Caenorhabditis elegans: one gene and its partner. The protein of the gene in region 2 purifies or fractionates together with the protein of the main gene of each other region. This does not show direct contact. Each region holds a gene or a part of one and is shown on either strand. Other genes may lie near its edges.

Region 1 (18,072 bases), on a different chromosome or scaffold from region 2:
TATACACGTTCAAACCTGATCCTAGGAAGGACGAGACAACTACTGTGGAGCCGAAACCAATTCGTCACGCTGGGGGGTGTCGTGCCCGTCGGCCATAATTTTGAAAGTTCACGGACTTTACTTCAATGAACAGTTTTTATCAATTACCAAAAGTCACATTTGCCACCAAATTGCCGGTTGCCAAAATTTTTGGGGTTCGGCAATTTTGGTAATTGCCGGTTACCGAAAATCTCGGGCGCAGCATCCCTGATGAGTGAAGTGCGACATGCGGGCGTCACGCCGCTGTGAGTATGCAATGAAGTGCGAAAGGTAGTTAGTTAGAGCGGCCGACACATTCGGGGTTCCGCAGCTTGGCGTTAAGTGAGTAGCTTGGTGTGTGCGCAACGTAGTGCGAAAAGGTAGTTACTTGGAAGCGACCGACACTTTCGGGGTCACGAAAGGTAAATCGACCATACTGCTAGTCCCGGTACGGCTTAAATTTTGACTAGAAAAGGTACATATAAACACCCGCAGTAAACCTGTATAAACCTCTTGTCCACAGGAAGCTTTGTTGGCTCACTTTTGGTAAAATTTAGTAAATTTTGATGATCCATCGACCTTGAATGTACTTAGATCGGGCTTGAAACGCAAGATAATTAACATGTATACCAATAATTGGACGGTGATTTCAAAAAAATTAGTTTCCAGCCGCTGCGACAATGACAAGTTGGTCAACTTAACTAATTTTAGGCCATTTTTGAGCCGCCATAACTTTTTTTTGAGAAGTCGAGTCTTATAAAGCTATAACAAAAAACGTCAGAAAAGAGTCAAACCTCAAACTTCTTGAGCAAAAATTTCACCTGCTTCATTGTCAGGTGAAATTCCGCTCGCCTTGACTCAAATCTTCAAAATAACTACTATTTGCTCAACTTTCTCCTCCAAAAATGATTGTAATAAGCTTTGAACTTGTTCCCTATAGCCATTTAGTGTTTCTGGTGATTTGCTGGACGTCTATGATAGTTTATGTACGGATTTTATACATTCTGCAAGTTAGGAGGCATATGGAGTTCAAATCGTCGTTTTTTCTCATTGTTAAGTTGCATGTAAGTTTTTTCTGGACAATTGAAGCACAATTTTGAAGAAAATCTCTGAAAACAGAAAAACCACTCGAAATACGGAAAAGTTGTTAACTACAAAATTGTTAAGCATAAAATTTTACACATTTCACTATTTGGAAATTTTTCAATAGCTCTTCTCCTTCCAGAAATACAAGCGTTTGAATTTTGGGAAGCGAGACATTGTGGAGGTGGAGAGACGCGGGGCGCCACCCTGCGTCTCTCCCCCTCCCACACTGCCTCACCCATCAAACTTCAAACGAGCATAACTTTTTAACGAATAGAGATATCAAAAAACGTTCAATTGCAAAAATGTTCAGAATTAGATTTTGCATCGAATAAGCTTAAATTTCAGGCAATAACCGACGTGGCAATGTTTCTATTTGTAGAACTTATAGCTCGCCCGAGAAAATACAAAATTCATAATCTCCTGGAGCCAATGAAAAATCACTGGCTCCCCCAATTCATATACTTCTTGCAAACAACTATTAAAAACACAATTTTCCTTGGGTATACGGTAGTGGCTGTCAATCGATTTACCATAATCTTCATGCAAAAATACCATAATCATATATGGACCCCTATGGTTATTACAGTAATCTATGTTTTGGAGTGGGCGGTGCCAGCAGTCGGATTTTCGAATTTATTTTATAATACTGGAAATCACAATTTCTCGTTGTTAGCCGCAAGTAGTGGTGGGCTGTCGCTGAGGGCAGATTCAGGTAAACTATAAAAAAAACAAAAAAATTTTGACCGCAGTGGGGGTCGAACCCCGGACCTCTGCGGCATAGTCAAACCTGTACCCGGCTGAGCCACTTGCTCACAAATTTTTTTTTTCTGAAAAAGGCTGTTAGAGTCAAATTTTGAGTTGGATTCCAATTTTTGGTTCAAAAATGCCAAAAAGAAAAGTAACAAATTGTTTCATTTTGGGAATTTCGAAAAAATTGATTTTTCGCTTTTTTTAAAATGAAGCCATAAAATTTTCAGATTCCTTGTAAAATTTTGAAAGAAATAATAATAAATAACACGAATCAAGCAAAACAAAAACATTTGACCAGCGCGGGGATCGAACTCCGGACCTCTGCGCCATAGCAGAACCCCTACCCCACTGAGCCACTTGCTCACTAAATTTTTTTCTGAAAAAAGTGGCCAAGGTTCACATTTTCAGTAGAATTCCAAAATTTCAGTTTAAAATTACCAAAAAAACAAATTTCGATTAGAAAAAAGATAAAATTTGATTATTTCGGAAAAACCCGCAATTTTTCGTGCATTTTTATTTTCGTGCAATTTTTATTTTTTTTGTCTTACAATAAACACAAAACAAAAATTTTAAACCCCAGCTGGAATCGAACCCCGGACCTCTGCGCCATAGCCAAACCGGTACCCGACTGAGCCACTTGCTCACTAAATTTTTTTTCTGAAAAAAGTGGCCAAGGGTCAAATCTTGAGTAGAATCCAATTTTTTCATTAAAAATCCGCAATTATATCCTGAAAATATAAAAAACCTAGTGGTTTAAATGTATTTTTCAGATTTCATGAAGCTCGATGCTCTGCAGGATTTATCGATTTCTACTTTTTGCTTTCTTGTCAGTTTTACTTTATACTTTACCAGTATACTCTACATTCTAAAAACCAAAACTTTATCACATGGCAAATTGCTCAAAAACTCAACGGAATTTATAATTTTCAAATGCGCGGTTTTTTCGTTTGTACTATTCATCCCAAATGCTTTGAAAAGTATATTTTTATATTTTTATATTGGTGAGCAGATATTTGATTGGATAACTGATTTATGGTATTTTACTACTGAAATTATGTGCATTGGATCCTGCTGGTCATTGTTGCTGAGTAGCCGAAAGCTCCGAGAGGAGTTTGTACCGAAAATGTGAGTGTTTGGAGTGCTCAGAGACTTGAAATGATATTAAAACTAGATTTGGGTTGAAATTTAGCCCTGGGACATTTTTTGAAAGAACAAATTGGGATACAGGTGGCTCAGTAGGGAAGAGGTTTATCTATGGAGCAGAAGGTCAGGGGTTCGACCCCCGAGGTGGCCAAAAACTTTTTAACTCAATTTTCTAGTACTTAAAAATATAAGATGGGTAAAATTCTACCCGATATTGAAAATGTTGAAGCGTTCCCCTAAAAATAGTTGAAAAGTCGAGAATTTCTTGAAGTATAGTCATTTTTGTTTAAAAATACAAGAAAAACTGAGTTCTACATCAAATTTGACACTTGAGACGTTTTTTTCAAAAAAAAAAAAGTGGGAGAGTGGCTCAGTCGGGTAGAGCTTTGGCCATGACGCAGAGGACCGGGGTTCGACCCCCGAGAAGGTCAAAATTTTTTGTTACCTTTTTTTCAGCTAACCAATGCTATATATTGTGCAAAAACGAATTAGAAATTTTTTTTGAAATTTTTATTCCAAAAAATCGTATTTTTCAGAAATTTCTCGTTTTCCGGGAGCTCAATTGGTACTGTATCAGGAAGAATATTATAAATTTGAACACTTTATTCATTTTATTCATTTTCTTATGAATTTCTCAACTAACAACTATAAATATGTCTCAATAAATCCGCATTTCCAACCAAAAATTGCCCACGAGCCGCTGAGCCGCACCAGAAGCCGATGACGTCACTAATTTCTGATTTCGCGAAATTTCCGGTGCCACAAACGATTTTTCTGAAAATTTTAAAGAATTCGACCGGAAATCTTTGAGTTTTCAGTTTCAGATAGCAATTTGTCAGGGGCGAAGTCTGAAATTCCAGCAATTCACAGGATTTTGCAATATTTTCCTGTTGGTAGGGTTTTGGAAATGTGCATTTCTGGAAAAAAAATTTCAGGTTTTTCAGAAAATTTCGGAAAATCCTACCTTTAAAACTTTGCAGAGCTCCAATTGCTCGGCGATTTGCTCGTGGCTAAGTGAATGGGAAATATTAGAAAAATAATCAGAAAATGTTTGAGCATTTTGTGAGCTCGCGGAGCTCCGACTCGAACACCAGATGTTAGAAAATATTGGGAAATCAAGGAAAAATCGAGTTTAAAAACGATTTTTGTGTAAAAATTTGAGTTCTACTCGGAATTCTAACCGTAGACCCACTTTTTTTCGAAAAATTTTTGGGACTAAGTGGCTCAACTGGGTAGAGGTTTGGCATCGGAGCAGTAGGTCAGGGGTTCGAGTCCCGCTAATGTTAAAATTTTTTTATCTTGTTTTGATGTTATGGAGTTCGTACTTTGCTGCTTAAAAATTTAATAAATCTGAAAACTGCCACGTTTTCTATCCAAAAACCGAAATATCTTGAAAAATTGTTTTTAAAGACTCAAAAAAAATTAGGGTTTCCAGAGATTTTGAAAGTTTTAAATTAAAAAATTCGAATTTTACTCTAAATATTAGTCGGGCGAAATTTTTTTTGAAAAAAATTTTGACGGGATGGCTCAGTCCCCGCGCGGGCGCAATTTTTTTATTTCTCGTTTTTTGGTAGGCAAAGTACTAAATTTCTAATTTTTCTACCCTCAATTCACAGAAAATCGATATTTTTCGATTTTTAAAAACAAAAAAAAAACAAATTTTCGGAACATCAAAAATTCATGAAAACAGTTCGGAAAAAAAAAACAAATGCAGGAAAAAAGATCATTAAATGATTATTGGAGGCGGGAAACTCAAATTCTTCGAAACAAAAAAAACAATGATGCAGATATATAATAAGTAGGCAGGTAGGTAGGCAGACAAAGAAGTTAGCAAAGAAAAAATAATTAAATTTAGGATCTCAAAATGTCGAGTGTATCGTTGATTGCGCTGAGCCACGAATTCAAGTGATCCGACGATTCGGCGGCCAGGATTACACTGAAAATTTGAAGATTTTGGAAAAAAAGGTAATCTTCTCCAAATTTCGCGTCGATTTTTGATTAAAGCAATGCGAAAATTGTATTTCTACTCAAAATTTGACCACCAGAGCTATTTTTTCGACAAAAAAATTTGTGTGCAAGTGGCTCAACTGGGTAGAGGTTGGGCTATGGCGCAGAGGGTCCCGGGTTCGACCCCCGCGGTGGCCAAAATTTTTTATAAACATTTTTCCAGAACTTGAAAGTTGTGAGGTGGGTAAACGTTTACCAGAAATTGGGAATTTTGAATATCGAATTTTTTTTTCGAATTTTTTCAAATTAATCCACAAATGTTTCGAATTCTAGTTATTTTTTTGTAAAAGCATATGAAAAACTTTTTTCAAATTTTTTTTTGCAAAAGTGGCTCAACTGGTTAGAGGATTAGCTTTGGAGCAGAGGGTCCCGGGTTCGACCCCAGCGGTGGTCATAATTTTTTGTTAGTGATTTTTCTAGAACTTGAAAGTTGTGAGGTGGATGAAAATTTACCAGAAACTAGGAATTTCGAAGCGTTTCTCTAAAAATTGTCGATTTTTTTCAAATAATCCACAAATGTTTCGAATTCTGGTAATTTTTATGTAAAAGCATATGAAAACTGAATTCTACACCGAATATGGCCACTCGAGCTATTTTTTTTTCAAAAAAAAATTTGGTGTACAAGTGGCGCAACTGGGTAGAGGTTTAGCTTTGGAGCAGAGGGTCTCGGGTTCGACCCCCGCGGTGGTCATAATTTTTTGTTAGTGATTTTTCTAGAACTTGAAAGTTGTGAGGTGGGTGAAAATCTAACAAAAATCGATTTTTTTCGAAATTTTACAAATTAAGCCAACACAAACGTTTCAAATTCTGATGAATTTTCGTGTGAAACCATATGAAAAACTGAATTCTACGCAAAATTTGACGCATTGGTTTTTTTTTTCAAAATTTTTTTTTGTTGCACAAGTGGTGCAACTGGGTAGAGGCTTGGCTATGGCGCAGAGGGTCTCGGGTTCGACCCCACGCGGTGGTCAAAATTTTTTTTCATATATTTTTTCAGTGCTCTACCGTCGTTTTTCAATCAAATCAGGGTCCTGATCGATGAGCAACTCGATATGAAATTCGTGCTCGGCTCCTTGGCTCATTTCACGGCTCTCCTCAATCGAATTATTCGTGCATTTTGTCAAATCAATCTGGAAAATTGGGACTTTTTCGTGAACTTCCTCTTGTGGAGTGCTCCAGAACAAAATGGCTCCGCGATGAAGAAGTGACCAGTATTTGTGCCAAATTGGGACTTTTTTTGCTCTGAAAATTGGAATTTTTAGGTGGTTTTTCGGCGGGAAATTCAAAAATTCAAATTTTCAGTCACTTTTCGGCGGGAAATTCAAAAATTCAAATTTTCAGTCAATGTTTGGCGGGAAATTCCAAAAATTCAAATTTTCAGTCAATTTTTGGCGGGAAATTCAAAAATTCAAATTTTCAGTCAAATTTTGGCGGGAAATTCAAAAATTCAAATTTTTAGTCAATTTTTGGCGGGAAATTCCAAAAATTCAAATTTTCAGTCAATTTTTGGCGGGAAATTCAAAAATTCAAATTTTTAGTCAATTTTTGGCGGGAAATTCCAAAAATTCAAATTTTCAGTCAATTTTTGGCGGGAAATTCAAAAATGTAAATTTTCAGTCATTTTTCGGCGGGAAATTCAAATTTCTAGTCAATTTTTGGCGGGGAATTCAAATTTTCAGTCAATTTCCAAGTACCTCTCCAAAGGACTTGCAGAATCGTGTAAAATATGAAGAAATCCTCGATATTCCATATCAATTGCATCAGGAAGTGATGTGCAGTGTGAATTGAGCTTCACAGTTCCCTCCAGCGGATAAATGACGTCATCCAAATAGAAGCGGCGGTTATCGCCCGACGAATCGCGGTCCAACGTTAAATTTCCGCAAAGTTGGAAGTCACACGCAGGTGACGTGGCATTTTGTATCGATTTTTGTGGCGTGGAGGTAGTCGGGCGGCGGTGAGCGGCTGGAATTTGAAATTTTTGAAAAAAAATTTTTTTTTTTTTTTTGGAATTTCATCCTTATTTCCTAAAACAAATAAAATTTCCAAATTACCATTGCTCGGCACCAGCAAATTCCGCACTTTTTGTGCCAAAAACGCGGCGCACGTCTTCTCAGGTGGTCGGTGCTCGGGAACTCGCTGAAAATTCCAGATTTTTGAGGTATTTGTATCTATTCGTGTGGTAAGACACCTAAAAATTCAGAATCAGTAAAAAATTTGAGGCCGGGGGGCCTTTTTTTTTGAAAAAAATTTTTTTTTGTGTACCAGTGGCTCAGTGGGGTAGAGGTTAGACTCTGGCCCAGAGGTCCGGGGTTCGATCCCCGCTGCGGTCAAAAATTTTTTTTGCTACTCTCCAGTGGTGGGTTAATTAGTTTTAAATCATTTTACGATGTTTTTCTTGGTAAAAACCGATTGAAACTGACTTTATTGGCTAAAATTTTCAAAAACTGATTTTTTACGATGTTTTTTGAGCGGTTTTAATCAAAAATTAGAACTCTACGCAGATTTTCAGCTTTGGTACTTCTTTTCGAAAAAAAAAAAATTTTTTGTACAAGTGGCTCAACTGGGTAGAGGTATGGCTACGGCCCAGAAGTCCGGGGTTCGACCCCCACTACAGTCAAAAATTTTTATTTTCTGTTGTCAAGCATTACCATCATATAAATCTCCATTCCAATGGTAAAATCGACGGGAAGATTGGAAAAACGCAAGTGTTCACCGAAAAGAATGAAATTTTGCGGAGTTTGGAATTGAGCCAAAAGGGTAACGACACCGGTTGCCTCGACTTCTGTACGGCATTTGAGGAGCACAAGGAAAGCGTAAGAGCCGCCTGAAAACACAGAAATTTTGAATTTCCCGCCAAAAATTGACTGGAAATTTGAATTTTGGAATTTCCCGCCAAAAATTGACTGAAAATTTGAATTTTTGAATTTCCCGCCAAAAATTGACTGGAAATTTGAATTTTGGAATTTCCCGCCAAAAATTGACTGAAAATTTGAATTTTTGAATTTCCCACCAAAAATTGACTGGAAATTTGAATTTCCCGCTGAAAACCGATCAATGTTCGGTAGAGCATACTTGCAGCAAGTGCGCTCCACCGAAAATCAATTTTTTTTTTCGGCGGGAATTCAATGTTTTGGAGTTTTGTGTCAAAAAACCACAAATTTTTTCAAATTTTTAACTAAAAACGCAGAATGCGCGCTAATTTAATTCTGAATTTCGAAGTGCGCTCTACCGAACATGTGATCAATTTTTGGCGGGAAATTCAAAAATTCAAATTTTCAGTCAATTTTTGGCGGGAAATTCAAAAATTCAAATTTTCAGTCAATTTTTGGCGGGAAATTCAAAAATTCAAATTTTCAGTCAAATTTTGGCGGGAAATTCAAATTTTTAGTCAATTTTGGCCCAAAAATCTCGAATTTAGACTCAAAAACCACGTACGACTATGGAAATGCTTATTAAACTGAAGCGAAATATTCGAAATGACCATAGTCGATTTAAAATGTCGATTAATCGGTGGTGGTGGATGCCTGACAACAGTCATTGCCTGAAGCCTCCGAACTTCTTCCAATTGAACTTTCAACCGTTCTCTACAAATTAGCAAAACCCGTTGCGACGCGAGTTCTTGCATTGGACATTTCGATTTTTGGGCTTCAAGTAGTGAGTGCTCGGCGAGCAAAATGTGATGTCGAGTTTCATCGATTGAATTGAGTAGGCGGTTCATTTGACGGCGCGAATCCGTCGCGTGATGATCTACTGCCGACCAGTTACTGATTGAGCTCACGAAGGAATCCTGCGCAAAAAATTGATGTAAAAAAATCGATTTTTTACGAAATTTTACAAAATTTTAGTTCAAAAAATTGATTTTTAAAGAAATTTTTTTGAAAAAACGTTTTTTGAATCGAAATTTTTCAAAATTATCGATTTTTAAATGAAATTTTTCTCGAAAAAAACGATTTTTTTTTAGAAATTTCTTCGTTAAAAAACAAAAAACAATTCACTGATTTTTTCGAAAAATTCCATTTTTTTACGGAATTCTACAATAAAAAATCGATTTTTTTAAACGAAATATAATAAAACTTTTTTTTTTCGAAGAAAATTTTCAAAGAAAAATCGATTTTTTTACAATTTGGAGAGAAAACCCTTTTTTTTTGAAATTTTGAATTGGTTTTTTTCGAAAAAATGGATTTTTTACGAAATTTTCGAAAAAAAAAATCGATTTTTCAATAGATTTTTTTCCAAATTTTTGAGAAAAATTCGATTTTTCACAAAAACCACTAAAAATCTTTTTTCCAAACGGGGATTTTCTCAATTTTTTCACTGAAAAACCCGCCAAAAATCTCAGATATAATCCACCTGAAAAGCCGGTGGTGGTTCCGAGTGTTTCGGCGGCCGACACATTGCGGGTTTCGGTGTCGAAGTGGCAAGTGCAATCGGTGCCTGAAGCTTCTTCACAACAATTTTGAGTGGACCCCCCGCGGAGCCCGACGAGCATCGATATTCAACGATGGGCTCTCCAGCGGCATACGGTGTGAAAAGCGTGGGCGAACTCGTGAATTTCGGCGTTTTTGGGCACTCAGGGAGCTGGAGAAGATTTTCCTGATTTTCTGGAACTCCAGAATCTTGAAATGTTCGGTTTAGGGTGCTCTCCTCGTCGTACTGCTGGGATTCCAGATTTTCAGAATTTTCAGCATTTTCCAGCACCTCATCCAGCACCAGAAGCTCTTGGAAACTGCAAAAAATATCGATTTTTTACCGATTTTTGACGAAAATATGCTCGTCGCCATTTTGTGGGCTCCAGAATATCGATTTTTAGGGAACATTTGACTGAAAATTACAAAATTTGAGCGAAAATAGCTCATAACCGTTTTGTGGGCGTGGCCTGTTAGGCTCCGCCTTTTTTTTTTTGAAATTTTGAAGTGTCAATTTGTGTTTTTTCCTGCAAATTTTTTTTTTTTTTTTAGTATTTAGATAACAAGCTCCACCCATTTGGTGGGCGTGGCCTGTTAGGCTCCGCCCTCTTTTTTTTTGAAATTTTGAAATTTCAATTTGTTTTTTTTGCTGTAATTTTTGTTTTTTTTTAGTATTTAGAAAATAAGCTCCGTCCATTTGGTGGGCGTGGCCTGTTAGGCTCCGCCCTCTTTTCAGGCAAGAATATCGAATATTAGAAAATTTTTGACTGAAAATCCGAATTGATTTTTTTTAATTGATTTTTTCGCAATTTTTGCCGAAAAATCGCTAATAACCATTTTGTGGGCGTGGCCTGCGCGGCTCCGCCCCTTCTTAGGCGAGAAAGTCGAATTTTCGGTAGTTTTTTACTTAAAATTCGATATTTTAACAAAAAAAAGTTGGGCAATTCAAAAAATTGTCTCAAAAACCTCAAAAATTTCTGCAAATTTTCGATTTTTATAGGAAAAAATTAAAAATTTGAATTTCGCGGCTTTTTTTTGGACATTTTAGATTTTTTTTTAAAGGAAAAATGTCAAAAATGGCTACAAAATTTGAATTTTTTTCGAATTTATAGCATTTTTGCCGCAAATTTTCGTACTTTGCCACGTCATCATCGGAATTTTCGAAATTTTCAGATTTTTTGGAAATTCCAACGTCATCAGCCACGTAGAGCTCCTCTTTATCCATTTTTTGGGCCAAATTTCGCAATTTCAACGGTGTGGCTCCATATGGATAGGCTCCGCCCACATTTGGAGCATTTTGAGCATTATTCGAATTAAAAACGACAGCCTGGGTGCCACGACGACCATGAAAATGACGTTTTTCGTACGGTGAGATGTATTTTTCCGATTTTTTGGCGAGAATTTCCGGAATTTTGGAGGATTTTGAAGTTGGCGGTGGAGCAATGTGTTCTGGAAGAAAAATGGGTTATTTTTGGCGGGAAATTTCGAATTTTGAAGATCATTTTTGAGAAAAATGTGAAAAGTTGGAAAAACTTGAATTTTTTTTTCGAAAAAAAATTTTTTTTGCAAAAAAATTATCGTTTTTTGGAATTTTTTTAAAATTCGCTCAAAATTCGTAAAATTCCCAATAAAAAGTGAATATTTCGAAAAAAAATTTTTTTTTAATTTTTGAAAAAAAAAAAAATTTTTTGAAATTTTTTTTAATTCTTAAAAAATTTAATTTTTTTCACAATATTCCTTAAAATTAGCTTAAAATCACAAAATTCTAAATTTTAGCGATTTTTCCACCGAAAATTACAGAATTTTAACACAAAATCCGACAATTTTGGTGGTTTTGCTGGAAATTTAGAATTTTCCAGAGGTTTTTCCGTTTTTTCAGGATTTTTTAGAGAAAATTTTCGAAATTCACCAGAAACTCAATGGTAAATTGCCAATTAAAATGAAAATTTTGAAAAAAAAAATTTTTTTGAATTTTTGGAAAAAAAAATTTCTAAAAATTAGTTTTTTGCAAATTATAACTATTTTCTCTGAAAAAGTCCAATTTTGCAAATTTCCACTCAAAATTCAATTTAAACCATAATTTTCATCCGAAAACTTGCGAAAAATCCCATTTTTTCTGGATTTTTCCCAAAACTTTTGGGATTTTCCGATTGTTTTTTCTAAAAAATCAATTTTCCATGTAAAAACTGTATAGTTGGTGTGTTGACAGTGCAAATAAATTAACAATACATGTGAATTTATAAATTTGCATTTGAATAGGAGAAATACCGGGGGAAATGGTTTTTTTTTCTCATTTTCCTCAATTTTTCTCAATTTTCCCCATTTTTTTCCAGTTTTTTCGCATTCCCCTATCGATTTTCTCAATTATCGATTGATTTCCGCACCATTTTCAAGACTTTCAACCCTTTGCGTGGGCGGAGGTGGGGGCTTCTGCTCCAGCATGCCGGAGCACTGATCGAACGCGGCGACGAGATCACGAATTCGGCCGCGTGGCACCGGTTTGCGCCACGTAGCATCTGACGGTGGTGTATCGACGATCGGGTGCGGCATCCAGCGGTAGAACTGGAAAAAATTCGGATTTTTTGTGAATTGTATCGATTTTTCCGGATTTTTGCCCTACCTGACTTGATCCGATTGGCACCGGAGTTGGCGGCATCGATTTTCCGTCGAAATTCTCCATTTTTCGTCAAAAATCTCCGAAAAAACGGCGAAAAACCGTCTAGAAATCGCAAAAATCGATTTTAAAAATTCAAAATTCCATCGAATCCCTCACATCACTGAATTCGTGGCGAGACCTATTTGAAGTTTTGAGCTATGCGCCTTTAAGAAAAACCGTAGTTTTTTCGCGAATTATCGCATTTATGCGGAATTACGGCGAAAAAGCGAGAATAATCGAAGAAAATGCGATAAGAATTGATAAAAAATGATAAGATTGTGTGCATTATTCAGGTGACAGATTGATTTTTGCCCAAATGTTGCGTTTTTTGCGACGAGAAATAATTCATATATTTATTTAGTTATTTTAAGTTTAATTTTTTCACTTTAATAACATTACGCTCTTCAGAAAAAAGACAACATGACTGTGGACAAGGTTAAGCTGGTCATTGGTGAGTTAAACGGAGAATAAAAACAAATTTAAACCAATTTTTGAGTAAAAAATTCTATAAAATTCGTTAAAACTCGAGTTTTTTCTTTTCTTTTTTAAAATTTCTACTTTTCTACGTTCAAATACACCGAAAACGTATTAATTCCGAAGATTTTCGTTAAAACACTGGAAAATTCGAGCTTCCCGCCAGAAAACTGAGTTTGTCATTGGAGCGTGATTGCATTGCTTGGCGATTTAAAAAAACGAGTCTAGACGCTTCAATAATCGATTTTTTCGGATTTTCAGATGATAAACGAGAATTCTAATTTAAAAAAAAACAAGAAGTCTTCAAATTTTCCACTTATTTTCGTCAAAAAACACTTGAAAATTTGAAATTAGCGTCGGAAAACGGACTAGTTCACTGGAGCGCGCTTGCTTAGCGAGTTTTATCGATTTTTAAAGTTTTACATAAAGTTTACCAAATTTTAAGCTTTAAAAACAAAAATTAATCGATTTTCAGACTCTGACGGTGTAAGCGACGACGTGCGAGCCATCTCCCTAGCCTTGCAGCACCCAAAAGCCGAAATTCTCGCATTCACCGCAGTCCACGGCTGTGTGACAGTAGATCAAGCCTGTGCGAACATCAAAAGAACCATCCGAGCCAACGATCGGAGCAATATCCCAGTGTACAAGGGTGCGGCTAAATCGATTTTGTCGCTGCCGAAGGATGATACCGTATCCGATTTTTTCGGGATCGATGGGATCGGTGATAAGCCGGAGGAGTTCCCGAAAGTCGAAAGATCCGATTTTGAGGGGGAGGGGAAGCATGCGTCACTTGCTTTAATCGATATTTTGAGAGAGAATCGGGATGCCACTTTGGTGTAAGTTGAGGCTACAGTAACCCTTCTGTACCCCCACCGCATCCCTACAGTACCCCTACAGTACCCCCACAGCGACCTACAGTACCCTTGCACTATCCCTACAGTACCCCACAGTACCCCTGCACTATCCCTACAGTACCCCACAGTACCCCTGCACTATCCCTGGTACCCCGGACAGTTCCCCTCTAGTATTCACGCAGTAGTGTTACTGTATCCCCACAGTTCCCCACTGTGCCCTTGCAGTAACACTACAGTATCCCTACAGCAACTCTACAGTAACCCTATAGTACCCCGACAGTACCCCAACAGATCCCCTACATAACCCTACAGTACCTCTGGTAACCGAACAGGTACTCACACAATAGTGTTACAGTACCCCTACTGTTCCCCCCACAGTACACACACAGTAACCCTACAGTAACCCTACACTAATTCCACTAAAGCCCTATGGTACCATAACTGTATACCTACAGTATTTCTACAGTACCCCTACAGTATCCCTGGTACCTGGACAGTTTCCCTACCCTACCCCAATAGACCCCCTACAGAAACCCTACAGTACCGCTTCAGTACCCCTACAGTACTCCTACAGTACCCCTACATTACCCCTATAGTACCTCAACATTACCCTTTTAAAGTCCTACGGTACTCCTACAGTATCCATACAGTCCTCCTACATTTTCGCCTACGCCGAGCTATTCTGGGTGTCAAATTTCGATTTTAATCTATTTTTGCTCAATTTTCCCTAAATTTTCAACAAAACCATTTTTCAGAACCATCGGTCCCCTCACAAACGTGGCGATTGCTCTCCAACTCTGCGAGGAGTTTTCGACGTACCCATCCCGGCTGGTAATCATGGGAGGAAATTATTACGCGGTCGGAAATGTTGATGGAGGTAGGTTCTTCAAAAAAAAAACTAGGGTGGACCACTTTGGCGGGCCATATCTCGTTTCATTTTTGAGATATTAGAAAAGTTTCAACTATAAACCTGTTCAGAAACATGTAACAAACATTTCATCAGTTAACAATTTGTTGACAAACCCAAAACCGACGGAGATACAGACCCGTCAAACCCCAAAAAGCCCCCCTAATTTTTCCAGGTTCCTCAGCCGAGTACAACTTCCACGGAGACCCGGAAGCCGCGAGCATTGTGCTCCGACGTATGAAGTGTCCCATCACCATTGTTCCATGGGAGGCATTCTATTTTGAATCAAAGACCCATGATGCTTCAGTTGATTTTTCGGCTCATTTGAAGTATGGAACCCCATTGGCTAATTACTTATCGCTGGCCACCAGCATTGGTAAGGTTTTTTAAAGTTATAACTCGAAAACTAGGGTAGATACTAGATACCAAAAAAAAACTGTCAATTGGAAAGTTGTTCAGCGTAAAATTCTGCATTGATTTGACCCCCATGTCGATAATTTTCAAATTTTCGAATTTGACACTTAAAATTGCTCGCGGAGCTCCTAGCCTTTCCCAATGCTTCAAACGTATTGAAATTTCGTTTTTCGGATAACCCGCAAAATCCTACACCCAGAAAACTCAACTTCCAGCCTTAGCCAGCAGTTTTGTAAAGGGGTCGAAGTGGCTCAACTGGGTACATGTACGGCTTTGGTGAAATAGGTCCGGGCTTCTCGAGGCCCCGCTAGTGTGTCAATAATTTTTTTAGAGTTCGAAGGTCTGTAGATTAGTCAACAAGTACATTTTTTTTTTAGAGTTCCTAAATTCGATTTGTATGTTCCAGGCCGCGTAAAATGCGAGGCCAACGGCCGCCAATACTCCTACTGCGACGAGATCGCTGTGGCTACTGCAATCGATGAGGATAAAATTGCAAAAAAGTCTCAGTACCTGTATGTCGATGTAGAGCTGAATGGAACAAAGACACGTGGGCAGGTTGTGGTTGATTGGACCGAGCAACTGTGGTCGAATGAGGAAGCTCCGAATCAGGTGAAAACAAAAAATCTGGGGTTCTGTATAGTTTTTGAGGCATAACTCGGAAACTAGAAGAGTTATCAAAAAGTTGCCAACTGAAATGTTGTTCAGCGTGAAATTCTGCATCGATTTGACCCCCATATAAAAAATTTTCAAATTTTCAAGGTCGATACCCAAAATTGCTCACGGAGCTTTTAGCTGCTCATGGTGTTCCAAACTTATTTAAAACATGATTTTTGGGTTCCCCGTAGTATTCTACATCAGGTACGGTTGAATTCCAGCCTTAGCCAGCAATTTTGAAAATGGGGCGAAGTGGCTCAGGTGGGTAGATTGATGAGGCTATTGTGAAATAGGTCAGGGGTTCGAATCCCTTTGGGTTTATTAGTATTTTTAATGTTATATACAATAGATATACAACACTCAGACAGTCCAAAATCTAGATATTATCAATTTTTTGTTTAATAAACCAATTTTCAGCACACCCATCGCCGTGTCAAATTCGTCACCTCTTACGACGTTCATACTGTGGACAAGTGGCTTCATGCAGCCACTTCTGGAAGTGGAAAATTCGATTAACTCTTTAAAACTGTAAAATGTCACATTTATTGCTCTTATTTATGGTGTGTGTGTGTGTGTGTTGAAATTTGCAATAAAAAGTTATTTTTTAATGAAAATTATGACTTTTTCGAAGCATAACTCGAAAACTAGAGTAGATATCAAAAAAGTGTCAACTGAAATGTTGTTCAGCGTAAAATTCTGCACCGAATTGACCCCCATTTAGAATATTTTGTAATTTTCGAATTTGACACCTAAAACTGCTCGCGGAGCTCCTACCTGCTCCCGGTGAACCAAACTGGCTGAAAATCTGATATTCAAAATAACCGTGAAATTCTACACCAGGGACACCTAAATTCCAGCTTTAGCCAGCATTTTTGAAAAATGGTGAAAGTGGCTCAACTGGGTAGATGGACGGCTATGGTGAAAAAAGCCAGGGGTTCGAGTCCCCGCTAGTGTCAATAATTTTTCCAGGGTAATGCAACATGCAGGCAGATGTTTTAATGGAGAACATCAGAAATTTCAGCTGAATTTCGCAAATTTCAGGTTTTTCAAATAGTTTTCCGACTAAATCGCAAATAACTGAAAAACTAGAAGAGTTATCAAAAAGTTGCCAACTGAAATGTTGTTCAGCGTAAAATTCTGCATCGATTTGACCCCCATATCAAAAATTTTGAAATTTTCGAATTTCACTTCTAAAATTGCTCACGGAGCTCCTAGCTGCTCCCGGTGCTCCAAACCAGCCGGAAATGTAGTTTCCTAGTTTCTAGTAAAATTCTACATATATAAAAAACTCAAATTCCAGCCTTAGTCAGCATTTCTGAAAAAGGATGGAAGTGGCTCAACTGGGTACATGGACGGCTATGGTGAAATAGGTCCTAGGTTCGAGTCCCCGCTAGTGTCAATAATTTTTACAGAGTTAGTTGGCCCTCAAAATAGTCGAAAATCTAGCAATATACTATGTTTTTCGCGAAAAAATCAATTTATTGTTCTTCTACTTAACAGAAAACGGCTAAAAATCACACAATTTCAACAAAAAATGGGTAATAGGTAATAAAATATGAGTTGAAAGAGAAAAAAAGGGAGAGCACCGGTTTCATTTTGTGTGAGAAGTGAAACTTTTCGTGAAATTTCCAAAAAATTGAGCATTTTTCGGGAATTTTCGGGGGTAAAAATTGGGGGATAAATATGAATTAAAGCTTTGAAAATATTAATTTTTGGGTGTCAATTTGTGTCAATTTCACTCGTGTTTGTCCTGTTCCGCAGCGTCGGCGACCATTTTTGCGAAGGCGCTGTTCTTGTCGGCCATTAGGGCGTCCGGTGTGTCGAATTCCAGAATTGAACCCTTATCGAGCACCATTATTCTGGAAATTTGGGATTTTTCGGGGTTTTATGAAAGGTAAAATGTGGGGGTTTGCGTTGGAATATTCATCGGGAATACCAACAAAAAAAAATTTTTTTTTCAAAAAATTCCAGTTTTTTGGGTAAAAAATCCCAATATCAGCGGAATTTTTTGAAGATTTTAAAATATTTTCCAAAAAAAATTTCGATTTTAATTCATTTTCTGAAAATTTTATTGACTTTCAGACAAAAATTTCCATTTTTAGCCACTTTATTAAATCAATAAATCGTAAAAATTCGATTTCAATAGAAAAAATCGATAAATCAAAGAAATTAAATTCAATTTATCAGAATTTCAGACATTTTCAGACAAAATTTTGGTAGAAAATTGCGATTTTTACGGACTTCTTCAGGCAGTTTGGGGTAAAATCGAAAAAAATCAGTATTTTTTTTTCAATTTTTGATTTTTTTTAAAGAAGTAAAATTATCGATTTTTTGGGAAATCGATAAATCGCAAAAAAATTTTTAGATTTATCGATTTTTCATAAAAATTGAAAAAATTATTTGTTTCAATTTCGATGCTAATTTTTAAAAAGTCAATAAATTTAACAATCTTCGATTTTTAAAAAATCGATAAAATTCGATTTTGCTAGAAAAATCGATAAATCAAAATTAAAGTCAATTTCTTTGAATTTCAAGCATCTTAAGGCGAATTTTTATGTCGAAAATTACGATTTCCACGGTTTTCAGTCAGTTTTTGGTTAATTTTTCGAGTTTTTGGAAAAAATCTATAAATCTAATTTTTTTCCATTTTTTCATAAAAAATCGAAAATCGGAAAAAAAAAAATTTTTTTTCGATTTTTTTTT
Region 2 (14,526 bases):
TGAAGACATAACGCGTTTCTCGAAAAATTTGCAATTTTCTAGAAAAATGCTGCGTGGCCTAACTTTTCCGGTTATTTTTCTAGGCCACGTCTGAAAATTAGTTTTTTATTGAAAAGCAACGAAATTTTTCAAATTTTTCATACTAAAACTGAAAAAAATAGATTCTTCACGGAAAAATTTCACTTTTTGTGAAAAATTTCCCATGGCCTAACTTTTCCGGTTTTTTTTCTCAGCCATGTCTGAAAAATTAAGAAAAATTTGGGGAATCCATGAAATTATGCATGTTTTCTACGAAACATAATTGAAAAAAAAAACGGTTTTCTGCTAAAAACCATGCGTGGCCTAACTTTTCTGGATTTTCTAGGCCACTGAGCCCGAATATGGGGTTTCTAGGCCACGTGGGTCCTGAATCCAACAATAACTTACATAAGTGGTTTAATCCGTTCATTTTAGATGAAAAATAGTAGAAAATTTCGGAAAAATCTTTTGGAAAAAAAATTTCCGAAACAAAAATTTTTTTGTTTAGAAAATTTTTTTTTCCAACAAATTTCCAAATTTAGCAAATAGGTCTTATTCCATTTAAAGGTCCCCTATATATATCGTGTTGCGCGGGAGAGGTGTCATTCGATACAATACGACGTAATTTCCTCTTCCAAAGAGGCGAATTTGTGTCCTCTTCCGCCCAGTTTTCTGAGATTTTGCACGATTTTGGGCGGTTTTTTTTGGGATTTTTGCATTTTTCAGCCGGAAGCTTGCGCTAGACGCGATTTTTGATTACTCACGGGATGGTTTTAGGGGTATATTGTAGTTTTTAGCAGGGGTAGGCATGGGCCCCTTTCACTGGGGATTGGTGACGTCATAGGGGCTTGAAGGCGTGAAGGAGCGAAAAAATTGATTAAGAGGGTATTTTTGAAAAGAGTAATTGGAAATAGTGGAAATTTGAAAAAATTTCACGGTATAAGTTATCTAAAAAAAATTTTTTTGGACATTTTTAAAAATTTTTTCCAAACTTTTTTATACTTTTTTCTCACAGAAAAATCAGTTAATACATCCTTTCCTGTTACAATAAAATTCTAATTTCCTAAAACAAAACTCAAAAATCTCAAAATTCAGACTTCGAACCTAGTTATCTCCCGATACATGCGTTTTAAGTTAGCGGTGACGAGAGAGTGTGGGGAGGGGAGACGCAGGCGGCGCGCGCGCTCTCGTCGTCTGCGTCTCTCCCCCTTCTCTTTCTCTCTCTCTTCGCCAAGTTCAAACGCCCGTATCTCATTAACGGTTGGAGATATCAAAAAACTTTAAATTGTAAAAAAGTTGAGCATGGAATTTTACATTTGATAATTAACACAATTATGGATTTTTGCGATTTTTTACAATAATATTTGATCGAACAAAGTTTCAATATAAAGCCCATTCGAATAGTTTTTGGAATCCCAGCAAATAGTGAAGAAAATTGAGTTCACATCTTCATACTTGAAATCCAGGCAGTCAGATGTGTCGGTGGAGCACGAGTTTTGTAGGGCAGCGTCTAGGAGGACGGCTCTCTGGAATAAGCATAACTCCGCGGAAAATCTTGATTTTCAAAAATGTTCAACTAACAATTTGTAGTGCTTAAAATTTTACACATTTTTATATTTGACAACTTTTTGATAGCTATTATTTCCGCGGAGTTATGCGCCTTTAATGATAAGAATTTGAGCTACTCCTTCTGAGCGCGTCTAGTTTAAAAGCGCATAACTCCTTGGAAAAAATAGCTATTAAAAAGTTTTCAATTAACAAAATGTAGAAAATTTTAAGGGCTATATTTCTTTAGTTTACAAATTTCTGATATCTCTCCTCACAAAAAAGTTATCAGCTATTTTCTTACCGAGGTCCCATCAAACTGCACCACGAAAACATTCAAACTCGGGCTCAACTTCAAGAAATCCTCTATTTGAGTTGAATACTGCTCTCTGGTTATATACGTAATTGCCTTAAAAGTCATAATCTTCGAGTAATCTTGAGCTGCTAGATCCTCCTGGTTACGGTAGGTAAGGGATTGTCCGATAAAGGGGTAGGTGAGGCAGGCGCCGGTGACCTGAAATTGTAGATTTTGAAATTTGGAGTATTTTGTTAGTTGGAAATTTTTTTTTTCATGGGAACGAAGATACATAGAGTTAAAGTTGGAAGTGACGAGAGTGGATGCGAGGGGGAGACGCAGACAGCGCGCGCACTCTCGTCGTCTGCGTCTCCCCCTCTCTCCTCTCCAACTTTAAACCTCTGTATCTCGGTTCCCAGCAGAGGTATCAAAAAACTTCCAACTACAAAACTGATCAGTATAAAATTCTACGCCCGAAACTAACAAAAGATTTTTGGAAACTCATGCTAGTTGTCTTCCTATTTGCTCCGCACTGCTCGGATTTGGAGGTTTCGATCTGAAAATCTGTTTCTGTGTCCGGAATGAAAAAATTTCCAACTCACAGTAGTTGTAGGCATGACAGTGGATGTGGTGGGGCAGGTTAAATTAAAGTTGAACACTGTTTTTGTCTGGAAAAATTCCAAGAATTTCAGAGTTAGGAAAACATTTTCAACTAAAAAAAATGTAGATCTTAAAATTTTACACATTTTGTCTGTTGAAAACTTTTCGATTGCTCTAACCAGTGCAAAGTTACAGAGGTTTCAAGATAAGAGTGGTGAGAGAGTGGAGGGGGAGAGGAGACGCAGACAGCGCGCGCACTCTCGCACTCTCCCCTCACCCCACACTCTTTTGACGCCTAAACTATAAACACTTGTATCTTCCTAACGGTTAGAGATATCAGAAAATTTTCAACTGCAAAAATAATCAGCAGAACATTTTGCGTCGTATGAGCTGACGAAACAAATTCCAAACTCACTGGTGTAGTAGTTGCAGGAACTTCAGTGGTCGAAGAACTAGTGGTGTCCAAACATGAAAGTTGGAAGGAATAGATGGAATCTGGCTGAAAATTTGAGCTTTTTTTGAGTTTTGTAAGGCTTCTCACCAAAAAATTCGCTTGGGAAAATCCAATTATTGTCAAAAATAGGATATTTCGCATGTTTTTAGAGGGAAGAAGCCCAAAAAGCGAATAATGACAAATGAAATTGGAAACGAATTCAAAAATGAAATGATGATGAGCTGCCACTTCACTAGGCAACGAGAAAAAATCGCTCTGCGGAGCATGGAAATTTATATTATAATATAGTTTTTTGTAGTTTCTGAACTTTTTTCATAGGAAAACTAAAAAATTCTGCAAAAATTTGTAGCGGCCGACACCTCACAGGTTCTGCAAAAATAAAGAAGCGTATATGGATTTTAAATTGGCCAATATTTTCCTAGCCATTGAGGGTGGCTTACTTTTTATTTGATTTTTTTTAAAAACACGCCAATTGATAGAAAAAAATATGCTGATTAGTTTTGCAGTTGAAAATTTTTCAATACCTCTCACCGTTCAAGAGATACACACGTTTAAAGTTAAGGTGAGGAGAGTGTGTGGGGAGAGGGGAGACGCAGGGTGCGCGCTCTGCCCGCACTCTCCCCTTCCCCCACACTCTCTCAACGTCTTAACTTCAAACGTCTGTATCTCCTGAACGGAGAGAGGTATCAAAAAACTTTCAACTGCAAAAATGATCAGCATATTTTTCTCTATCCATTGCAATAAAAATGAAATTTACTCAGTGGGTACCCCAAACCGTTTTTCATTTTTCAAATCGCCACAAGTTTATTCCTGTGTTTGGACTCTCCCTCCCGAGAATTCTTTGAACTAATTGTTTTGTACTGATAAGCTTCATCTGAAACATTTTGTGCACGAACCACAAACTGATAAGCTATCAGTATTGTTCCTCAATTTTATTTTCTAAAGTCTATAAGCCATTCCTTATCAGTCAAATGCCATTTTATTTTCCATTACAGTTTATTAATCTCAAAAACAAACTAAAAATTAATGTTTCCTATCATCCATCGCCTCCAGCACCGCAAAATTCTTCCTAATACTTCCAAACGTTCGCTGGCCACAAAAAACACAAAAATACTTTGTAGAATATTCCGATTTCTTCTTCAAAATTGTGTTACAGCATTCATCGCAATACGTGTGGCCGCATGCAAACAAGAAGCGAGGCACACTTTTGGTGTCGTTTTCTGAGTACTTCTTAAGACAGATGCGACAGTAGGCTCCGCAAGTTCTGGAAAAATGTAGAACTTAAAATTTGAAGCATTTTGTTAGTTGGAAGCCTTTTGATATCTCTACCTAGCGCGGAGATATAGCGGTTTGAAGTTAGGATGTGAGAGTGTGTGGGGGAGGGGGAGAGTGCGGGCAGAGCGCGCACCCTGCGTCTCCCCTCCCTCCACACTCTCTCACCGCTCGCAACTTTAAACGTTTGTATCTCCTAAACGGTAAGAGGTATTAAAAAACTTTCAACTGCAAAAATGATCAGCATATTTTTCTCTATCCAAAGCCATGTATTTTTTCACAAAAAACTTACTCAGTAGGTACTCCATCTAGGAAAATATTGGGCAGCTTGAAATTCATATACTTATTGAAGAACTCCGACGCAAGGGATCCTTGTTTAAACCTTTTCCAGGCGTAAAATATTTTCTTGAAAAATAGTAGGGAAAAAGTAATAGCCAAGTAGAAAATAAGAGAATTGACCATATAAAAAGAGATTACGTTAAAATTCAAATTGATCAGAAATATTAGCGCCAGGACGAAATTCAAACAGTTAAGTATTGGAACAAACCAGCCACGAAAAAAAGCACGGTATTTGTGGTACTTGTAACTTGTGATGTATACGTGGAAGCAGCCGAATTGTAGAATTGAGGATACACAGTTCAGGGCGACAAATAAGATGTAGAAAATCTGGAAATTTTGCCGCTTGAACCCCAAAACTCCTTTAAAAAAATTAAAAATACCGATGCACCATATCCAAATAAAAAGTAAACTTGTGGAGCAAATCGTGCAAATGTTAGCATACCGTTAGCTGTCGAGAATGTCCATACCAGAATTCGACGGGAGCTGTGATCTAAAGAATGTTGTGTAAAATTTTTTGCTGATTATTTTTGCAGTTGATAGTTTTTTGATATCTCTCACCGTTCAGGAGATACAGGCGTTTGAAGTTGAGCAAGGTGAGAGAGTGTGGAGGGAGGGGAGACGCAGACAGCGCGCGCACGCTGCGTCTCCCCTCCACTCACAGTCTCTCAGCGCCCTAACTTTGAACGTCTTTATCTCCTAAACGGTGAGAGGTATCAAAAAATTTCCAACTGCAAATTTGATCAGCGGAAAATTTTACATGTCATGGCCGTTAGATTTTTTAAAAATATTCGTAAACCCCACCTGCTCTCTCCACAAACTCGAAATAAAGCCAATACAGAATATTAGAGTACACACAGAATCCGTAAAAGTACACCAAAAACCAGATTTCATTCAAATATTCAAAATTGTCGTGGAAAATCGAAGAAATTGGGAGAAAAGTTGTGATAATCCCGCAGAAATGAAGTGCAATGATAAGTGTGACAGTTATGCACGAGTCGGCCGACATTTTCGTACTTTTAGGGTAACCGGATAGCCTTTGATTAGGAAAAAGGTTTAAGATGCCGTGGAGGAATGAGAGAAACAAAAGTGGGTTGCCAGGGGTAACCCACGGGGGGCTCCGGTGATCCTTTTATACTTGAGTTCAAAGACGGGATTAATGGAAGTGAGAAATTGAAAACTTTCATCAACCGAGAAATTGTGCTTATTAGGCGGAAATTGAGCAATTCGTATAAAATTTTGAACTTTTTTTTGGCAACATTTTGATAGCTTTGCTCAGTGAGGAGCTATGAGAGTTTGAAGTTTAGAGAGCTCGTGGAGACGCAGAAAGCGAGGACATTATTCTAAAAGTTTTAAGGTTATGTTTGTTTAAAATGGTTCCAACTTTATTTTAACCTATGTAAAATTTTACGTTGAACAATTTTGCAGTTGGATATTTTTTGATAGCTCAACCGTGAAAAAAGTTATGAGCGTTTAAAGTGTAGGCTACCGAGAGAGCGGAAGGTGAGGGGAGACGCAGACAGCGGGCGCACTCTCGTTGTCTGCGTCTCTCCCCGTTTGCTAGAACAACGTGTATCTCTAGAACAGCAAGAGATGTCATTGAACTTTCAATTGAAAAAATGATTACCATAATGATGCGTGTCTATTGTATTCAGTTTTGAGGATTTTGTTTGATGTTTTTTAATTTCAAAATTTAGGCGCTGAATTTGTTTGAAGTTTTGAAATTTTTAACTCATCCTACGCAAAATTTCACGTTGAATATTTTTGCAGTTGAAAATTTTTCGATAGCTCTAACCAGCGCGGAGTTATGTGTCTTTGAAGTTTAGGCTACCGAGAGTGCGGGAGGTGCGGGGAGACGCAGACAGCGCGCGCGCTCTCGTTGCCTGCGTCTCCCTCCAGTACACACTGTCTTGGCGCAGAAGGAAACGCAGACACACTCTCGTTGTCTGCGTCTCTTCCTGCTATAACGTTTTTTTTCATTCAAAATGTTTTTTTTTCAAGTTTCAATTGCCCTGAAGCAAGTTCCTTTAGTGTGCGGAGCCTAAGGTCACCCCCTTTTTTTGGTTCTCGAAAAAAAATGCTCAAAAAATTTATTCCAGAAGATCTTAATTCAAAAAATTTAATCCTTGTCCAAAAGGCACTTCAGTCCGGAGCACGAGGTGTCAAAAGCCGAATTGAAATTCTTGCATCCGTAGTGTCCAGCCTGAAATTTTGTAGTTTGTAGTATTTGTAGTCTCCACTAGAAGTAACATACGTTGGCTCCGCAAGTAGCGTGATAAGCATTACTCAAGCAGGCTCCGGCTTGTTCGACGGCTCTGGAAGTTTTTTGAATTCAAAAATTTGAAATCAATTTTTTTAGCTTACGGGCAGTAGTTGGAGGTAGAAACTGCTGAATTGAAGGTTTGAGTGCAGGCTTTATAGGAATCGGAGGATGGGAAATCCTTAAGACAGCTCCAGTGATTGATTACTTCTGGAATTTTCTCGAAGATTTAAGAAAAAAATCCAAAAAATTTTAATACAAACCACGATAACCGCCGCTGCACATCCACTCGAGTCCGCGGAAGGTTTTGACGTAGTCGAAGGCTGGAAAATTTTCAGGTAGGTGTAGGTAGGCACAAACCAATTTGCCAAAATTTACCATTTCCCAAGTCAGAATTTGATTGTCCGGCGAGATATTCAAGATTGATACACGAGTAGTAGCTGCTTCCCAGGCACTGGTAGAATTGAGTGCGGACGCTGGAAAAAACGGGGGATTCAAATTTCTGAGAAAATGATTGGCGGGAAATTCGAATTTTTTTTCATAAAAATTCGGCGGGAAGTTCAAATTTTCTGAGAAATAAGTTTGCCTGGAAATTCGAATTTTTTGGGAAAAATTTTGGCTTCAAAATTTTTGCGAAAACTTCTAAAAAGCTCTAAATCTATCGAAAAATTTCTGGAAATATTTAAAAAAATTTTTTTTAATTTTGGAAAAATCTAGGATCCTCGGAAATGCGCCGAAACTACGGAAAACTTATAGAAACTTCTAAAAAGTTTTGCTGGTCTCTGGGAAATTCTGAAAAATTCTGGAAATTTCTAGAGAAATCTGGAAGCATTCGGAATTTTCTAGAAGCTTAGGAAAACTTTAGGAGATGGTATAACTGTTAAGGCCTCTAGTTTTTGAGATACATTTACTGAAAAGTCTGGAAAAATTTCCAAAAGCCAACTATACTTAAAAGTTACTATGCTTTTCAGTCTTAAACTATATATATATATATAGGAGATGACAGGTGGTGTCAGGTTGTCAAATCACGGGTTGATCTACAAGAAATGCGGGAATTTTCTGATGCAGAATCAGTTCAGAACTGTCCAAGTTCCCGCGATTCTCGTAGATCAAACCGAAATGGGGCACTCTGAAAACACGTATTCGCATGGTTAAGAACGTGCTGACGTCACTTTTTTTTCGGAAAAAAATCCCGCATTTTTTGTAGGTCATTGTTTTGTAGATTTTCAAATAATCCAACTCACTTGCAAACTTTCATGAGCTCAGTCACATTCATATCCAAATACGACTCCACAGCTTCGAAAAATGATGATCCATCACGCCAAGTAATTGCGTCGTCGATTCCGAGGAAAGTGTTGAATTGGTTCTGGCAATAGTTCAGCTGAATATTTTGGCACGTATTGCTCTTTCGAGTTTCCTTGGTTGCAATTGTTTGGATAACATCACTTGGAAGGGTGTACGGTAGGAGGAAGGCAGCCTGAGAGATGCCTACGGCCACAAGAAGAACAAGTGCTACACAACGCATACTGAAAGTTGAATAATTGGAAAAAGCCAAGTATACCTAAAAATATATCTAATTTCAAAATCGGAGTCCATTTTATAACAAAAGCTCCAGAAATCATCTTCCCCGAAATAATAGGCTACGGAGAGAAACCTAGTCGACGAGAAAACCGTGACAATCAATTTTTTGATCGCTTGGTTCACACGACCACACCTGCTCCGGTCGTTTGTAAACTTTGTCCGTAATTTGTTAAAGATAAGACGTGATATATTTGAACTGGCGAAACTTCTTTCGTCATTTGACTCAAAAACCATTATACATCACGATTGACTTGTGACTCACAGATTATGAATGTTGTAGCATTGTCATAATGAATCTTATAGGTATTTGGGCTTCTATGGGAGGCAGGCGTGGTTTATGGGCCTGACGCCTGCCTCCAACCTGCCTGCCTTTTGCCTCATTCCTGCACTATGGCGAGAAGTCAAAGACTTGGTGTTTACACCAGGGGTGAGCGACAAATGATTTTTTTGGCAAACGGCAAATTGGAAAATTGCCGAATTTGCCAGAAAAACGGAAATTGCCGAACATTTTCAGAACTTCAATTTTAATCAGCAGCCAATTTGAGTCTAAAAAAACAAAGTCCCAGCTTTCCGAACTGTGCAATGTTTAAAACTTAGAGTTGAAACCTAAACCGCTGAAATTTCCACCATCATACATACAAATCAATTTCTCGGATTTTCTATTCAGATCCGACTAATTTATTCAATTCTATACATATCAATAAAGTTCAAAAGTAGAATAAGACAGCCGGAAGAGAATATCGAAAAAATGCGAACCGGCGAGTCAATTGAGCTGGGCTTCGTAGTGGAATCTGGCTGAAGCTTCTTCTGATCCTTTTGATCAACTGACTTCGGAACATCTTGAGAAGGCTTGAGAGTAGTGGTAGTAGGGGCACCCAGTCAACAGAGACCATCGTTGTTGTAACGATCAGAGTCACAAGCTGATCCAGGAAGTCCGGTGGTTATGTTGCTGAGCCAACCAGCAGCGGGGTAACTAAAGTTTTATCGAGTTAGATGCATAAATCAAGCGCTAAAAAACTTACTATGGACTAAAAAAACACTTTAAGGTATCATTTTTACAATTAATTGCGTCATTCTCCTCACACTTATATCGACATCCAATTGTTTTTTGTAATGAATCAGTGAACATAATGTCAACTAAAAACCAGCCAGCACAAAGAAAGAAGGGCCCAGTGATCTTCTCTACAAACTTTTCCAAATCCTTCTCAGCCGGCAGTAGTTTATCGAAAGAAACTAGATTTTCAAAGTTGAAAACGTTATAATAGGAAGCATGAACGAATACCTACAATTAATGTAACATCAGTATTTGAAATTCCTTTTTCACTTGCCATTTCATTCATGTTTGATATTAGGTCTCCAAATAAGTTCCGGGTCAAAATTGATAACTTTGTTCGCTGCGTATCGATTTTTATGAAACTGTGGGAATTTATGTTATCAACCATGATCTTTCATTTGACAATAGTCACAAAAATTTTTGACCGTCCGAAGTGCCCTAACTCGGAGCCAATTTTTTCAGACATTTTTCAGATCTCGCTTCTTTTCATTTTTCAATTGAGGTTTGTGTGCGGATCTTGCTCAGTTTAGTACACAATGTAAGAAAACAAAAAAAGTTTGGAAAAAAATACGTCCAAAAAAATTTTTTTTCGTCGGTCGTCAAAAAATCTTCAGAAAAATTTTTTTCCGAAAATTCTTGATTTTTTATACAAAAATGATGTAACCAAGTGCAAACTATTTTTACACATACAAAACATTTCAATTTAGTGCGTCACACTGAAATAATAACAGAAAACATAGCTTTTTTGAAATATTTTTGAGTTTTTGGAGTATTTATCGAGATCCAAATGTTAAACTTAAATGTTGTGTACGTGTAAAAATAGTTTGCACATGGTTACATCATTTTTGTATAAAAAATCAAGAATTTTCGGCAAAATTTTTTGAAGATTTTTTGACGACCGACGAAAAAAAATTTTTTGGACGGATTTTTTTCCAAACTTTTTTTGTTTTCTTACATTGTGTACTAAACTTAGCAAAATCCGCACACAAACCTCAATTGAAACCTGAAAAGAAGCGAGATCTGAAAAATGTCTGAAAAAATTGGCTCCGAGTTAGGGCACTTGGGGTGGTCAAAAAATTTTGTGACTATTGTCAAATGAAAGATCATGGTTGATAACATAAATTCCCACAGTTTCATGAAAATCGATACGCAGCGAACAAAGTTATGAGTTTTGACCCGGAACTTATTTGGAGACCTAATACGTTCATCCTCTTCGCAACTCGTCGACGATGTTCATTCAGTTGCAGAATAAAACCCGTTCAACTCCTGGTCAAGCTCGTTTTGCGACATGTTTGCTGCAATCTTTGATCCAGCAATTGCATAGCAGGTAAAATCCACAAAGAGTAGAACGATAGAAAGGAATTTAACGGCTCCCATGTTTGAAAAAATTTCAAATTGACGGAGTGCGAAGGAACTGGAACTTCTTGTAAACGTGGAATAGAATTGTACTTTACGTGTTTAAGAAGTCACGTATTTTAATTAATTATTTTTTGTTTTTATCAAACATTTAAAATTAAAAAACTCAAGAAAAACGTCAAGTGTGAAATAAATTTTTTGTTAAATATTAGTTTTATTCGCAAAAACTTAAAAAAAAAATCACATGAATTGAAATTTTCGGCCTCAAATCCGCCACTAACTCAGCTCACAGTAGTACACCATTTCCATAATTGCATAGTTTTTCGGGAGTCGGTCGCTTTTTTCTGAAAATTGTGAAATTCTGGAAAAATCGATTTTTTGACTTTTTATAACATTTCAAAACTTTCTTCTTGAAAGTCCGTTAAAAGTTAATAAAGTTTTAGATTTTTTTAACTTTGAAAAGTTTCAATGTACTATTTTTTCCCAAAATAAAATCTATTTTTCTTTCACTAACTATTTTTCATTATTTTTCCTTAAAAAAACACCGCAAAAAATCTATATTTATCGTTTTTCCCATACCTACCTTTTACACTAGTATGCTGGCGGCACAATGGGCACAAAATATGATCAACCGATACTTTCAGCAAATTATCACAACATTCTTCGCATATTGTGTGTCCACAGCGAATTAATATTCTCGGTGTTCGTTTTTTGTCCTTATCCGAATAAGGGAGCACACAAATTTTGCACTCTGGCGCTCTGGAGGAGCTGAAAAATTAAAAAAAATTTTTTTTTTTTTTTAATTGACGAGATCAGAAATTTGCAAGTTTGAGTGAAATTTGAAAGTAATTTTTCAAATTATTTGATAAGATTCTTTTAAATTTTTGTAGAAGCTAGTCTATTTGTTAATTTTGAGCAATTTTCAACAATTCAAAATTATCAAGAGCAACAGTTTTTAATCAAGTTTTTGTAACTTTAAGTGGAGCCAAGAGAGGGGCGGAGCTTAACAAAAGCGGTAGCTTCTTTGAAAATTTTAGAATAATTTATATTCAGTTTCAGAAAAATATTTCATAAAAAATCCCAAAATTTTTGAGAAAAAAATGTTCTGAAAATTTTTTTTTAGAAATTATTCAAGAAAGTGGCGGAGCCTAAAACTGAAGTGTGGCTTATTTCAAAACTTTAGAATAAATTATTTTCAGTCTCAGAATAATATTTCAAAAGAAAATACCCAAATGTTTGAAAAAAATGTTCTGAAAAAATTAACACAAAGAGGTGGCCAAGGCGTGGCTTATTTTCAAAATTTTAATTAAAAATTTTTAATTTTTGATCAATTTGCAAAAATTCATTGCTCAGCAAAACATTTGTTTTTAAATAAAATTTTTGGAATTTGGAGTGAAGCCAAGATAGGAGCCTAGCCTAAAAATGGGCGTGGTTTATTGATTTTCAGTCAAAATTAATTTCAAGTTGAACAAATTTTTTTTATCAGGTCGTCCCATAAGTTTTTGTACTTTTTTTCGAATTATTCCCAAAACTTTTTCGGACAATTCTAAGATTTTATATTAGTGGTAGCATGTCACCAACTTGTCACCTTATTGCAACATAACTCTGGCATCCCAGGCCCCCGCGGTTGTTTAGAAAAACGAGTAACTATAGAATCAGCTTTTTACACCATTCCTTCTGGAGTTTGTTCTACACCACCCAGAGCTTAAAGTAATGGTTAATATATACTGTCAAGTAGATGCTTCCACACTCTTGTTTTAAATAATTTTAAATTTAGTATAACTATTCCGGAAAAACTACTGTAGCTAAACACAATTGTTGAGGCCAATTAAATATGGCGCCCGAGTTTTTGATTCCTGTGAAGCCGCTGGGAATGGAACGGGTGCATCGTGTATGTTTACGATAAGTGCACATCATGTGCAGTCAAAATTTAAAAAAAATTTAATTTTTTCAGTCATGGGGAGATGTTATAATTGAGAACTTTGTAACCACACTATTTTGTACTTTTTAACAATTGCCTATAGGAGTGATTGAAGCATATATTGGTCCATTTAGTCCTCGGAATGAAAGATAGATAATTAAGTCTAGTGTTATTTAGAAGTGGATATATGTATCATAAATAAATTAACAAACTTTACTGGTGGCCTCTTCGTTCAAACAATCTACATGGCCAACCTCATGTGATACCCGACATTTATAGTGTTGGGCTTCTAATTTATGATTGAGAAATCAGCAAGTAAAACGAAGTTTGTATTTGTACTATGCAAGTATTGTTATATAAAATTAGAAACAACAATCAAAATAATCCCATCACTTTTAGTGAGAAATTATTCCATGAAGATGTTCACTCAGTGCTTGATAAACATGAGCCAAATAGTCCACGTCCAAAACGGCTAATAAGTGCTAATGATAATTTTAACCATACTGAACATGTATTTTGAATCATTATCTTTACTAATACTATGTTTTCATGTTCATTGATAAATTCCCTGTGAATAGCAGGACGAAGGAAAACACCTCCCATTATTTGGGTATGTCGCTATTTGTGGCTCTGGTTTCCGTGATTGTTATCAGGAGGATATTGAAATAACGCATCAAAATTTTGACAAGTAGTACATACTATACATGCGCATTTATAAAAGATTCGATTTTGTTCTGTCAGTTTAGAACTTGTTCAAAAAGTTTTAAAAAAGTACAAAAACTTATGGGACGACCTGATAAATCTCAAGTTTTCCAACAAAAAACTCCTTTTTTAAAAATCTAAATTTTGGTCCTTTCAGTGGGGCCAATAAAGGGGCGGAGCTTAACAGGGGACGTGGCTTACCTTGTATCATTTCCGAGAGCGGCAGGTGGTCCAGTTTCCACTGAGCTTACAGTAATCACTTGCTCAACTCGCGGAGCTTTCTTCACACCTTTTCCGCAAATTTGGACGAATTTGAAGAAAATCTTGGCGACGAAATATCCGAAGAGCAATGGGATTACAGTAAGCAGACCGCATGACACGTAGAACCACGTCGATTCGCTTATTGATTTATTGATTTTTTGGATGAAAAAGGCGGCGACGACGAGATCGATGAGATTGAGAGTGATTGTGGTGATTAGGGTGACGAGGATTATGGTGAGACGGATTTTGAAACGGAAAATGTCTTCGATGAGGAGATTCCCGAAGCAAATTGAGATGGAGAGGGCGGATGAGGTGTTGAATATTATCATTGGGATGTAGATTATCTGAAAATTGATTTTTTTTTAAAACTAAAATCCCTAAAAATATGAGATACAGACTTAATCGATGTTTGGTAAACTTTGACGGCTCAGATCTCAGCCGATTTTCAAGATTTTTTATAAATTTTTGTTGCAGAAATATAGAAAAATTCATAACAATTATATTCTTAGTTGACAACTTTTAGATGCATATAATCGATAAGCTGTCAAAGTCTAATTAAATGCCGATGCACCATGTTTAAAACACGCTAATCTTTGTCAGTGTGTATCTTAGTGTATTTTTAAGATTTTTATAAACTTTTTATTGCAAAAATGTAGAAAAATAGATGTCAAATATGTTTTTTTGTCAGTGCTGGAGCAAATTTTGCCAGTGCTGGAACAAAATTTGTCAGTGCTGGAGCGTTTATTAGGCAGGCGGAGGTCGCCTTAAGGTCAGGCAGGCGGCTTTTTAACGCCTTTAGATATACAGTGCATTTTTCCATTTCTACGACTTTAAAGGGGGCACATTTATGCATAATTTTTGGCAGTTTTTT

Evidence for each region.
Region 1: the proteins of nspg-7.2 (region 2) and ani-3 fractionate together in Caenorhabditis elegans (co-fractionation; one large-scale study listed by BioGRID). This does not show direct contact.

Annotation. Positions count from the first base shown.
Region 1 is NC_003283.11:19,691,801-19,709,872, reverse strand, and holds ani-3 (Anillin-like protein 3), read right to left. Parts: upstream 12,142-18,072; 5' UTR 12,091-12,141; coding exon 12,031-12,090; intron 11,973-12,030; coding exon 11,795-11,972; intron 10,860-11,794; coding exon 10,547-10,859; intron 9,731-10,546; coding exon 9,355-9,730; intron 8,792-9,354; coding exon 8,440-8,791; intron 7,829-8,439; coding exon 7,653-7,828; intron 7,141-7,652; coding exon 7,056-7,140; intron 6,967-7,055; coding exon 6,699-6,966; intron 6,247-6,698; coding exon 6,010-6,246; intron 4,934-6,009; coding exon 4,849-4,933; 3' UTR 4,661-4,848; downstream 1-4,660. Other genes in the region: Y43F8C.15 (DUF281 domain-containing protein), read left to right, coding at 1-98; srv-3 (Serpentine receptor class gamma), read left to right, coding at 924-1,082, 1,450-1,816, 2,625-2,979, 3,534-3,588; Y43F8C.13 (Nucleoside hydrolase), read left to right, coding at 12,487-12,517, 13,016-13,376, 14,150-14,271, 14,477-14,677, 15,122-15,324, 15,787-15,885; Multidrug resistance protein mrp-7, read right to left, coding at 17,105-17,228.
Region 2 is NC_003281.10:3,250,091-3,264,616, forward strand, and holds nspg-7.2 (DUF19 domain-containing protein), read right to left. Parts: upstream 8,317-14,526; 5' UTR 8,306-8,316; coding exon 8,025-8,305; intron 7,257-8,024; coding exon 7,159-7,256; intron 7,104-7,158; coding exon 7,044-7,103; intron 6,991-7,043; coding exon 6,885-6,990; intron 6,836-6,884; coding exon 6,775-6,835; intron 6,724-6,774; coding exon 6,640-6,723; 3' UTR 6,599-6,639; downstream 1-6,598. Other genes in the region: Y53G8AL.4 (Apple domain-containing protein), read right to left, coding at 427-448; Y53G8AL.3 (CUB domain-containing protein), read right to left, coding at 1,371-1,544, 1,868-2,077, 2,343-2,414, 2,461-2,526, 2,874-2,957, 3,000-3,053; Y53G8AM.4 (RING-type domain-containing protein), read right to left, coding at 3,936-4,176, 4,477-4,850, 4,904-5,013, 5,325-5,529; Y53G8AM.6 (uncharacterized protein), read right to left, coding at 9,241-9,334, 9,384-9,643, 9,690-9,701; Y53G8AM.7 (RING-type domain-containing protein), read right to left, coding at 11,048-11,115, 11,355-11,539, 13,596-13,999.